Linked DNA regions of Arabidopsis thaliana. The protein of the gene in region 2 interacts with the protein of the main gene of each other region in a pairwise test. Each region holds a gene or a part of one and is shown on either strand. Other genes may lie near its edges.

Region 1 (5,786 bases), on a different chromosome or scaffold from region 2:
AAGAAGCTTAGGTTACTTGTTAATACATTTCCAGGAGAAAAGAAAAATATTTTCCTAAGTATCTAATGGAGGATCCCCTTTTTACTAGGTTATTATTGTTTCAACTTTTCAAGTCATACGAATCTTAATAAATTGTACTGTTGATTAGTATGTTTTTACTGAAAATGAACTGGTTCAGTAACAAATTGGAGTTGTGAAGATCGGTAAGATTTTGAGTGATATAGACTCCTCTTTAAGTATGGAAGAAGAAATATACAATGAAAAGAAAAGAAAATAAAACCGAACTATCACGTGCCTCTCATGTGTCTTTGATTTAAGCTTCCGTCAGAGTAACCCTCTGTTTCACGCGGAGTCTTACACTCTCTTTTTCGTCACACACAAAAATAAAAAATTTGATCACGTTCAAAACTTTTGTGAAGATACCATGTATGTAATCTTAACCACCCAAATAAATCCATCACTTATCATGCATATCTCTGAATAAAATGTAACATGACATCAAATCTGCTTTGTTTTCTCCTGAACTAAATTCTTGAAAAAAGTAATATATGAAAATCACAGAGATTTTCCAAATGTTTTGGGAGAAACCAATCTCATTTGCTACACTCTTGAACCAACCTCCTTTTAATACCACATATATAGCTTCTCTTAAAATGATAGGGTCAGCCATGGTTGTATTCATCTTATCGTTCTTTGCGCCTTGTTCCACCGACACAAAGCCTTCGATGAAACTCTCAAGATAAATCTAATGAACTTTATAAACTTCGAAGATGTTGTAAGTATGAATCTAGTAAATGAGAAACCTTATGTTGGACACTTATTTAACAATGCTGTAACAAGCTCAAGGGAATGTACATAATCACTTTTTTCACAAAGATAATCATATCATTTTTTCATATATATATTACCCAATACAATCAAAGTATGAGACATTTCTCATAAGACGAGAGCATACTCTTAAAATTCCCCAATACAAACACCTATACCCAAAAAATTTAATTCCCTGCATAATCTTATTAAGGAAGACTGATAATCTCAGAAACGCACAAAACCGGAGACTTTTCATGTATTAGGATAGTATCCATATGGGTAACTAACAGAATGAGATCTGTAGTGAAGATTCTGTTGAGTATTATTATTCATTTGATCTCCAGACTCTATAGGCTTCGGCTTAGGCTTAGCCACACGCTTGCTGCTCTGTTCTTGGACCGCTCCAAAGACTATCTCATTAGACTTTTCACTGTCCTGCTCATAATAAGTATGCGGGATCGATGAGTAATGCCTTCGATGCTGCTGCTGCTGTTGTTGCTGATGCTGATGCTTCTGGTGCTGCTTTTGCTGCTGTTGCTGCTGGTTGGGGAACTCAGCGTCCCAGCTACTGTAGAATGCGCGGCTCTGACGTAGCTGCTGCATTTTCTCTGCATCTTTGGACATAAAAGCATAAGTCTTTCTTGGAGTTGGGTTCCTGGGCTCAACAGGAGGAGGTCCGTCTTCGTCTCGAATCACAAAGCTCTCTTGAATTGGCCATGGAGTTGATGTGCTAAATGCAGCAGACTGCTTTGTTGTCCCATGGTACTGCTGAAAGCTGGTGCCTGTCTGCTTTTTTCTAAGGATCTCCATAACTGACTCCCAAGCATTTGAAACGAGTTTTCCCAGCGATACCACAAATGTTTCCTCTTGTTTCTCTAGCTGCTCGTCTCCAGCCGGAATCAGAGATGGTCTGGAATGTTTCATAGGCTTTTGATCAGGATCAGCTTCGAACATTTCTTGATCCTGTGTAAGAAATATTTGAATAGTTTTAGCAGAATAATAATAAGCCAGGGTAGTCTTTGAGACGAGCACTTACATTATGAGAAGACACGATAGAGCCGACTCTTCGTTGCAACAGAGCTAGCATATAACCAAAGAAACCTGCAGCAACAAGAACAGCAATCCCTGCAATACATTGAATTCAGAGTTATTCAAAGAAAAAAAGAGACAAACATAAAAAAAAGTTTGGTACTTTTGTAAGTTTACCAAGAGGAAACCCGCTTCCATACTGATAAGCACAGTCATCGAAATGGAGTTGAATCTCTCTGATAGCTTTGTTTCCACGGTCAATAACAAGCAGAGAACAACTACTTCCAACATAAACAACATCAAAATCATTTGAAAACTTTGCATCTTCACTTGGTCCATCCACATGCCCTCCATTTCGAACCGTTTTGCCCCCGGCAATAGTTGTAACTCCTTCACATCATAGGCATTTAAAACTCAGTACAAGATGCAAACGTATATATAACCCTTCTATGAATGCAGTTATGAACAAGCTATTACCTCCTTCACTTATCTTCCGGATAGCATTATTCACAGTATCAGCCACATATATATTTCCTCTGTCATCAACCGTAAGCCCCTTAGGATGGTTCAGCTTCGCATCACGTAATCTCCCGTCAACATGACCTGGATATCCTTCAGGGGAGCCAGTAACCAGTCTTGGCCTGCTATCTGCAAGTGTTTCCAATACTTTCCATATAAATAAAACTCAACCAAATAGTAGAAAGAAACACTTTTGCAAACCAATATAAGCTTTTGTTTCTATTCTGAACCATTTGAAACAAACACTTTTGTTTTAGATCTCATCTTTGAAAAAGTCAGATTCAGCAAACAAATGTACTACTAAACTATACCCGTATACTGATATCATCCCCGACAAACTCACTCCAGAAACGACAAAGATACAGCAAAATCTCCATAAAATAGTAATAAAGCTCAGACTTTAGAATTTTCAATTTGAAGTACCAAAAAATTCCATCAATTTTTCCATATGCAGCATCTTTTTGTACTATAGTCCCCATGTGCATTCAGTTTGAAGTGATGACAAAAGCACAATCGTGGTCTCAACATCATCACAATCTCTTCAAGAATCAATAAACCACAAAATTTGTACTTACATAATGAAAGAGAAGATGAGATCTTGTAGATGTTACTGTTCTCAGAATCAAGAATAAGTAACTCTCCGTTTGGTAAGACTTCAATAGAATACGGTTCAATACCAAGTTTACTTCCATCAAACACAGTCTCTACACTATACCCATTTTCGAATTTCACCATCGATCTCGTTGCAATAGCTGATTCATAAAAAAAGAGAAACCTTTATTCGTTAGAAAAAGATTAAAAAGCAAACTTTATGATCAGAAAATGGAAGAGGATTCGAACTTGTTTTGGTTGTGGTTTTGAGTGACCATAACCATTTCATTAGTGAAGAGCCATGATTTGAGATAAACCCATTAAGAATCTCTGCAAAAGGAGTAAGATTTGAAAACAATTAAACAAAGAATCGAAGAGAAGAGAGAGTTAAAAAAATGTGATTACGCTTACTTGCAGGAGAATTAGCTGAAGGAGCTGAAGATACAATCCCAGAGAGAAGTAGAATGAGAATACTTAGAACTAGAAAATCTCTACCCATTGATTGGATTTGAAGAAGAAGAGACAAGTTTTAAACTTGAGAAGACGCGGCAGAGGAAGAAACTAAGAACCCTAAGAAGCTTCTCTAGGGGAAGTATAAGAATGGCGGACAATGCGAAGATTTGAAATTTGAGGTTTCTTTCGATGAAAGAGAGAATTAAAGAGAAGAAACAGAGAGGTTAAGATTTGTGCAGAGTTTGTTGATAAGCAAAAAAGAGTGAAGACAGTGTCTCAGTGAGAAAAGAGGAAGGGGAAAGTTTTTATTTAGAAGGAGACAGAATAAAAAGAGTGAGAGAGAGAGTCATGTGATGCGATCAACGTCGTTACTTTTTTTTAATCTATAGTTTTAGAATGAAATTTTTTGTATGGGTTGGTTGATTAATTTAATTTTAGGAATATCAAAATTAAACTTTTTGAGTTTAGTAGAATAAAGCTGGAACTATATTCTCTGGACCTGGTGATTAAACAACTTTAGTCTTAGTTTATGTATAAGATCAGCTTTTAAAATTTATGTGATGGAATATATTCTACAACCACAGAATAAGTACAAATGTTTATATCATATACTAGATTTTTGGTAAAGATTGTAACTTTTCTAGTATGAAAGTTTTTGGTATTGAGCTTTTATTCATCTTTGATGGTTTTGATAATATGTGAAGAACATAAGTCATACATGTCTTTATATATAGTCAAATCTATAATCCTATAAAATAATGTAAAGAACTTTTAAACTATACTGATCATTTTGTTCTATGTAAAAAACACTGATGATTTGTTGGTTTGCTAAAGTGTTTATAACAAATATTTTTGTTGAGTTCATACAATTTTGTAATACTGAGTAAATCACACACTGAAATGTTAATTAGTCTTCAAACCAATAACCATATTATATACGAAAGTTGTATTAAATGCGATTTTAGTTATGGAATCATTCTGGTTGTATTAAAATGGTAAACAGACTTTGGAAATAAGTTTAGGTTTTAGCACACGAAAAAAAAAAAATGGTGTATATTATCAAAAAAGAAAGAGTTTTATTAATTTTATGATTGTGCTGTGGCTTTCTTTGAATGGCCACTAGTTCAAGCAAACAAAACATCCAATAGAGGAAACACACGTGTCAATGTAAGATCCATTTAGAGTACGTCACGTGTACGAAGGTAACGTGTCTGTCTATTTTACTCGATCTTTTTGTTACGATAAATGAATATAAGAGGGGTAAAGTAGTAATCACATATGGTACGAGTTAAGACTAGAGTCAAACAGTGCATATATTCTCCCACCAAAATCCTTGTTTCGCGCTGCCTTATCTATTTTTATTTGTAAAATTCACTTCTTCTTCTTCTTCTGTTTTTACCTCTTTTGATTTTTTATTGTATATTCACTTCTTGTTGTTTGTTTTTTTACCTCTTCTCTCATATTTAAAGTCTCAATACTAATTAAGACTCCATATGCTATTTTCCCCCAACTGAATCTTATTACTAAAAGAACTTTGTTACAAACATTTGATCATACAAAAAACAATGTCTCAAACATTTTTTTCAGCGACAATCAGCCTTTTACTAGCTGATTTACAAGACTTTCGACACTGCTTTTATTCATTAATATATATAATATATATATATATAGATATAATATATTTCCACTTGACCACCATTTTCTTGTTGATTTGCTAGCCGAAAAAACGTGAAAGAGATATTTATTGTCTTTTCATGTGAGCACAACGGTGCACATCTAGTTGTCTTCTGAAGCATACCATTTTTCCCTATCTAATCAGCGTAATAAACCCATACAAAACAGAAAAAATGAGATGAAACTTTTGAGACTAATTAGGTCCTCGCAACTTCGGATGCTGATTCTGCTAAAAATTGGAAACAGTGCAAAGTGAAAAAAACATAAATTAAATAGTGATATGTTGGGAAAAAGAAATAAGTTTTTTAGAATAAATGGAAAAATGTAAAAGCCAAACAACAAAAGAAAAGGAGCAATGGGAAAGAAGAAGGTGAAAAATGGTCCCCTTTAATTGATAAAACACTTTAACTGGAGAAAAGAAGATTCATCAAGAGATAACTCTTTTTGTTTTTCATAGGACTTTTTAAAAAAGTATCAAAGGGAAAATAATATACTGATTTTTTAAAATTCAAAATAAATAAAAAATAATTACAAAAAACAGAAAAATTATTTTAGTTAATCATTTTCTTGGTATATAGCTTAAACTCTTAAGAGAAAAAAAAAAAAGAAAAAAGAAAAAAAAAGGTTCCAACATAATTTTTGGGAATGTGAGAGTTGATAGTTTGGTGACGATTGAACCTCATGGGCTGGAAATAGACAAGTTGAGCTAT
Region 2 (4,399 bases):
AGAATAGAAAAGCAGAGGAGAAGAAGAATCTCTAACAAACAATGAAAATCAGAAGAAAAATTTGATAATTAGCAGGAGAAAAATTGTAGAAAAGAAACGGCAGGAACCCTTTGGAGGTAAAAGACAAGTCCCTCTTTCTGGGTTCCTGAAATTGAGATATCTGATCGATCATACAAATTTCAATTCTTTTTGAGATTATATCACAATGTCCCATTTTCTCGGCCTAAATTTGGTCCGTTTATTTGTCCTTATTATTATATTAAATACTTGTTTATTACAGCCTCGTATTTGTATGTTTTGTCTACGGCAAGCATTTTAAATTTAAACAAAGAGAGAGACACAGATATGAGATGATTTTTTGGATCTGTCTCTCTCTTTTTTGGGATCATTTTTTAACCAAACTACGAGTCACAGATATGAGATGATTGATGTTTTAACGAAGCTGTGAACCGAATTTTCCAAAACATTGAAATTACACAAGTATGATGAACCTATTGTTTACGAAACCGGAAAACTCGGGCTTAGGGCCCAATAGTAGAGGCGGATAAAAAGAAATGCAGGCCCATTTGACCACAAAACGTTGGAGATTGCCCCTTTTAAATAAGAAACGAAGGGGTCAGCTATATAATTGAATGTCATGTTGCCGCTACTATATCTCGTGTTTTCCATGTTTAAGTTTCTGTCTTATTGCAACTAAAATGGCTTCACCTGCCACTGCAACTTCCGGTTGAGCAACTAGCTAAGTAAGAAACTGCCTACTTTGTTGTTGTATCTAATGAAGAATGTTTCAAGTATTGTGTCATTATGACTCCAAATGATTTCGTAATCTCTATATTATGAATTGACAATCACACATTTTGTTGTTAACATACAAGGATCAAACATGCATATACTACTAATATTTCGATGGCATTTCAATCCATACTCGGCCGTGTTTAGCTACTCTTGTTCAACTGTTTCTCCCTGTCCGGTGTTATTCCCGCTTCCGTTGTTACCGTGAACTTTTATCTCCAAAAGCCTTTCAACAGGTTGCCTGCAAATGGGGCATCGATTTGTCTGAAACCTCAATACCTTAGCACATCCGCTACACATACACTGCACCACCAAACCCAAACAATTTTTAACATCTATATATATGTCCATCATCACATAATAGTAGTAAATCATCAGCTTTCACTTACCATATGTCGACATGGAAGAACAGTGGTGTCTCGTGGTTCAGACAAACATATAACACATTCTTTACCAGGATCATTAGCATCATCAGCTGAATCATCATCCCCCTCAACTGTATTCCCAATCCCATAAATCTCCTGCAACTCATATCTCGTTCCATTAACCCATAGTATCTGCTTCACCACTCTAATCTTAATCTCTCCTTTATCCTTCTCATAAACCGCTTGAGTAATCTGCGCATTCTTCGACCCCGACCTTTCTTCTTCTTCATTCTCACCACCTGAGGGAGCTGCTTCTGCCTTAACCGCTAATGGATAGATCTCTGTGTCTGCGGCCGCTTTGAACAGCTCAACGTCCTCAAAGACCGAAAAGTCTATACCAGAACCAGATGATTGTTTAAACTTCTGACCAAGTCCTTTCTCGAAATCTAGAGTGATAGGTGGCAGTATATCTTCCTTTGTCGCTGTGAGTTTGCAATCTTCGGATTCTTTAGCAAAGAAAATGACACTAATCCTATTTTTCACAAGTCCAACATAATAACATAAGCTTAATTCAATTACACATGAAGAAGATTTGATCAAATTGCAATAAGAAGATCCAAATTACATAGTCACGAGGAAGAACACAACAAAATTCACGTGTTATCTGCTCAAATGGATCACGAAATCAACGAAAGGGAGAAAGTGAAATCTACCTTCCGGAGACGGTTGCATCAAACGTAAAGGAGACGAGAAAGCGACCCGGATTATCCGGGTCGGGTTCAAGCCTAAGAGACTCCTTCTTGAGATTAACGTCGTTACGAATCGTGACGGCTTTCTGGTGTTCAACGTAAGGAGTCGGTTGAGCCATCATGTGACCAGCATAAGGGTATCTGGCCATCGCCACGGGAGCCCAAGAGTGGTTGTGGTAAGGATGCGGTGGATGATGTTGGAGGTGGTGGTCGTACGGCGGAAGAGGCATGGCTCCCGGGGGAGGATGGTGGTAGTAAGAAGCAGGGTACTGGTAAACCGGATTAGGATTAGGATTAGGATAGGGAGTAACGGCAGCGAAAACGATGGGATTAGCTTGGATTTCTGTAGGTAGAGGTGGTGGAGGAAGAGAAGAAGAAGGAGGAGGAGGAGGTGGTGGTGGAGCCGCCGTATGGTTTCGCCGTCGACGGCGTCTACCTTCACCACCGCTGCTGCTAATGTTTCCCATATGTTATTGGCGTTAAACCCAGATCAAAAAGACAAGATTTTTTGGTGACCCAAATGATCAAATCTCAGAAAATTGCTAAATTTGTGGGTGGATCGGAGATTCTGGGGATTAATATTGAGTGAAATGTAAGGAATTACGAAAAGCAAAAGCAGAGAGAGTTTAGATGAATTAAGAAAGAAAGAAAATAAAAAGAGAGAGAGAGAGATAAGAGAGAATAATTTAGGAGAAGAAAGTGGGTAATGATATGATGAATGGGGTCAGGTTGGCCAAGAAGCTCCACCCATGAACATAAAACACCTCCCACCCTCCTTCGATGGTGTTTATGTTCCCAAAAAGCTTTCTTTTTTTTTTCTTTGGACTTTTTTTCTCCTTGTTATTAATAATTACGTTGATTATAAGGAGTTTTGTCTTTTCAAAAAACAAAATTCAACACGAGTACTTAAAAGAGTTGAGGTGTGTTATATGACGACAAAAATATAGAAAGAAAGATGTTATCTTTTTAATTAGAAACACATTCCCATTAATTATTAGAGCATCTCCATTTGAAGTATCTCAATAAGATACCCAATAAAAAAAAAAAATAATTAAAGAAGAAAAAGTATGATAGAAGGAAAAAAAAGTAGAAGAGAAGGAGAGTTGAATTTCTCTTCCGAGAAACTTTGAGAAACTATTCTCATCCAATTTGGACAAGTGTCATCATACTATTAATTCAATTATTAAATAATAATTAATGTATCTGTTTTAATTAAAATATTATTTTTATTTTTTTTTAGAATCTTTCCTTGTTTTTACTGATAAAGATGGTCTTAAGATTTTTATTTAGGTCTACATTAGGATTAATTTGTTCATGCTTTAAAAAGATGATGTTATTTTCAGAAACCATTAATTGAGAAATCCAAATATTTTACAGAGTGAAGAAGTTGTCGATCATTGCATAGTTCTGTCTTCTGTGTGATTAAAGAGTTAAAAGTCACTTGTGCTGTCCGAAATGTATACTAGGCAATAGGCATTGTCTACTTTCCGCTTCTAGACTTATATTGCCTAAATATCTACTAGTAATTAGTGTGAAGTTTAATATGTATTCCTAACAAAGTAGGCTATACTTTATTTTTATTTTTAACCTATAATAAACCTACTTTTTGCCAACATAATATTCTTATATACAGTAGTCCGAAAAGATGAACTGGTATTTTGGAATTCATATTTAAACTTGTTTTGTCGTCTTTGAATAATTGTGTATAAGTTTAACCCAAAACACAAAACAAAACTGATGTATACTTTAATGTCTTAAAAATTAGTGTTTCTACAAAAGCATAAGCTCCGTTGACCAAAAAGAAAACATAAGCCCTAAAAGAGTTTTTATATTTTCAAAACCCTAAGCTAATTTTTTAAAAAATTTGTATGAATTTAGAGTCAAGAGATCACCATTAGCTAAAAAAAACGTCACAAAGAATAAAAATATATAAACATTCTTTCAAAGGAAGATATATATATATATATATATATATATTCAGTAGCCAGATTAAACTGTAACTATTGGATGTTTGATATTACGTGAAATTATATTACATGTTGATTTTGATCAAAATCAAATTATATTCGTGATCATATACAGATAGATATCATATTGAAACATTCCCATACGAAGGTAGTGGTGCGATTCGAAATCAAAAATAAATAAAGAGACATAATAGAATCGCATACCTAACCACTCGCACACACTTTCATTAAGCAATTCCAAAAGACGAACATATATAAACTAAGAAAAATAAATGGGAATCAATTATAAAATACTCTATATATAGTGGGAAACGGCAGACCGGATATATCATCAAGTTGGATACATATGTTGTGTAAAATCTGTAAAATCAATTGTATCAATTTATAGTTATGTAGACCTATGATCGTGACATATATATATATATAAAAACTAAACTTTGTTCTCTGTTGAATGTTGATGCATCTTTGTTATAATTTACAGGATAACAAATATGACGTCGAACGTAGCATCTTCTTGGAACACTAA

What was found.
Region 1: the proteins of LOG2 (region 2) and AT1G70280 interact in a protein complementation assay, tested with the Arabidopsis thaliana proteins (one large-scale study listed by BioGRID).

What each region holds. Positions count from the first base shown.
Region 1 is NC_003070.9:26,465,024-26,470,809, forward strand, and holds AT1G70280 (NHL domain-containing protein), read right to left. Parts: upstream 3,782-5,786; 5' UTR 3,449-3,781; coding exon 3,361-3,448; intron 3,280-3,360; coding exon 3,199-3,279; exon of another isoform or gene 3,111-3,198; coding exon 2,934-3,110; intron 2,488-2,933; coding exon 2,317-2,487; intron 2,230-2,316; coding exon 2,017-2,229; intron 1,936-2,016; coding exon 1,847-1,935; intron 1,774-1,846; coding exon 1,063-1,773; 3' UTR 781-1,062; downstream 1-780.
Region 2 is NC_003074.8:2,995,463-2,999,861, forward strand, and holds LOG2 (RING/U-box superfamily protein), read right to left. Parts: upstream 2,794-4,399; 5' UTR 2,374-2,793; coding exon 1,871-2,373; intron 1,690-1,870; coding exon 1,182-1,689; coding exon of another isoform or gene 1,167-1,181; exon of another isoform or gene 1,096-1,166; coding exon 940-1,095; 3' UTR 717-939; downstream 1-716. UniProt on the Arabidopsis thaliana protein: Acts as an E3 ubiquitin-protein ligase, or as part of E3 complex, which accepts ubiquitin from specific E2 ubiquitin-conjugating enzymes and then transfers it to substrates (in vitro).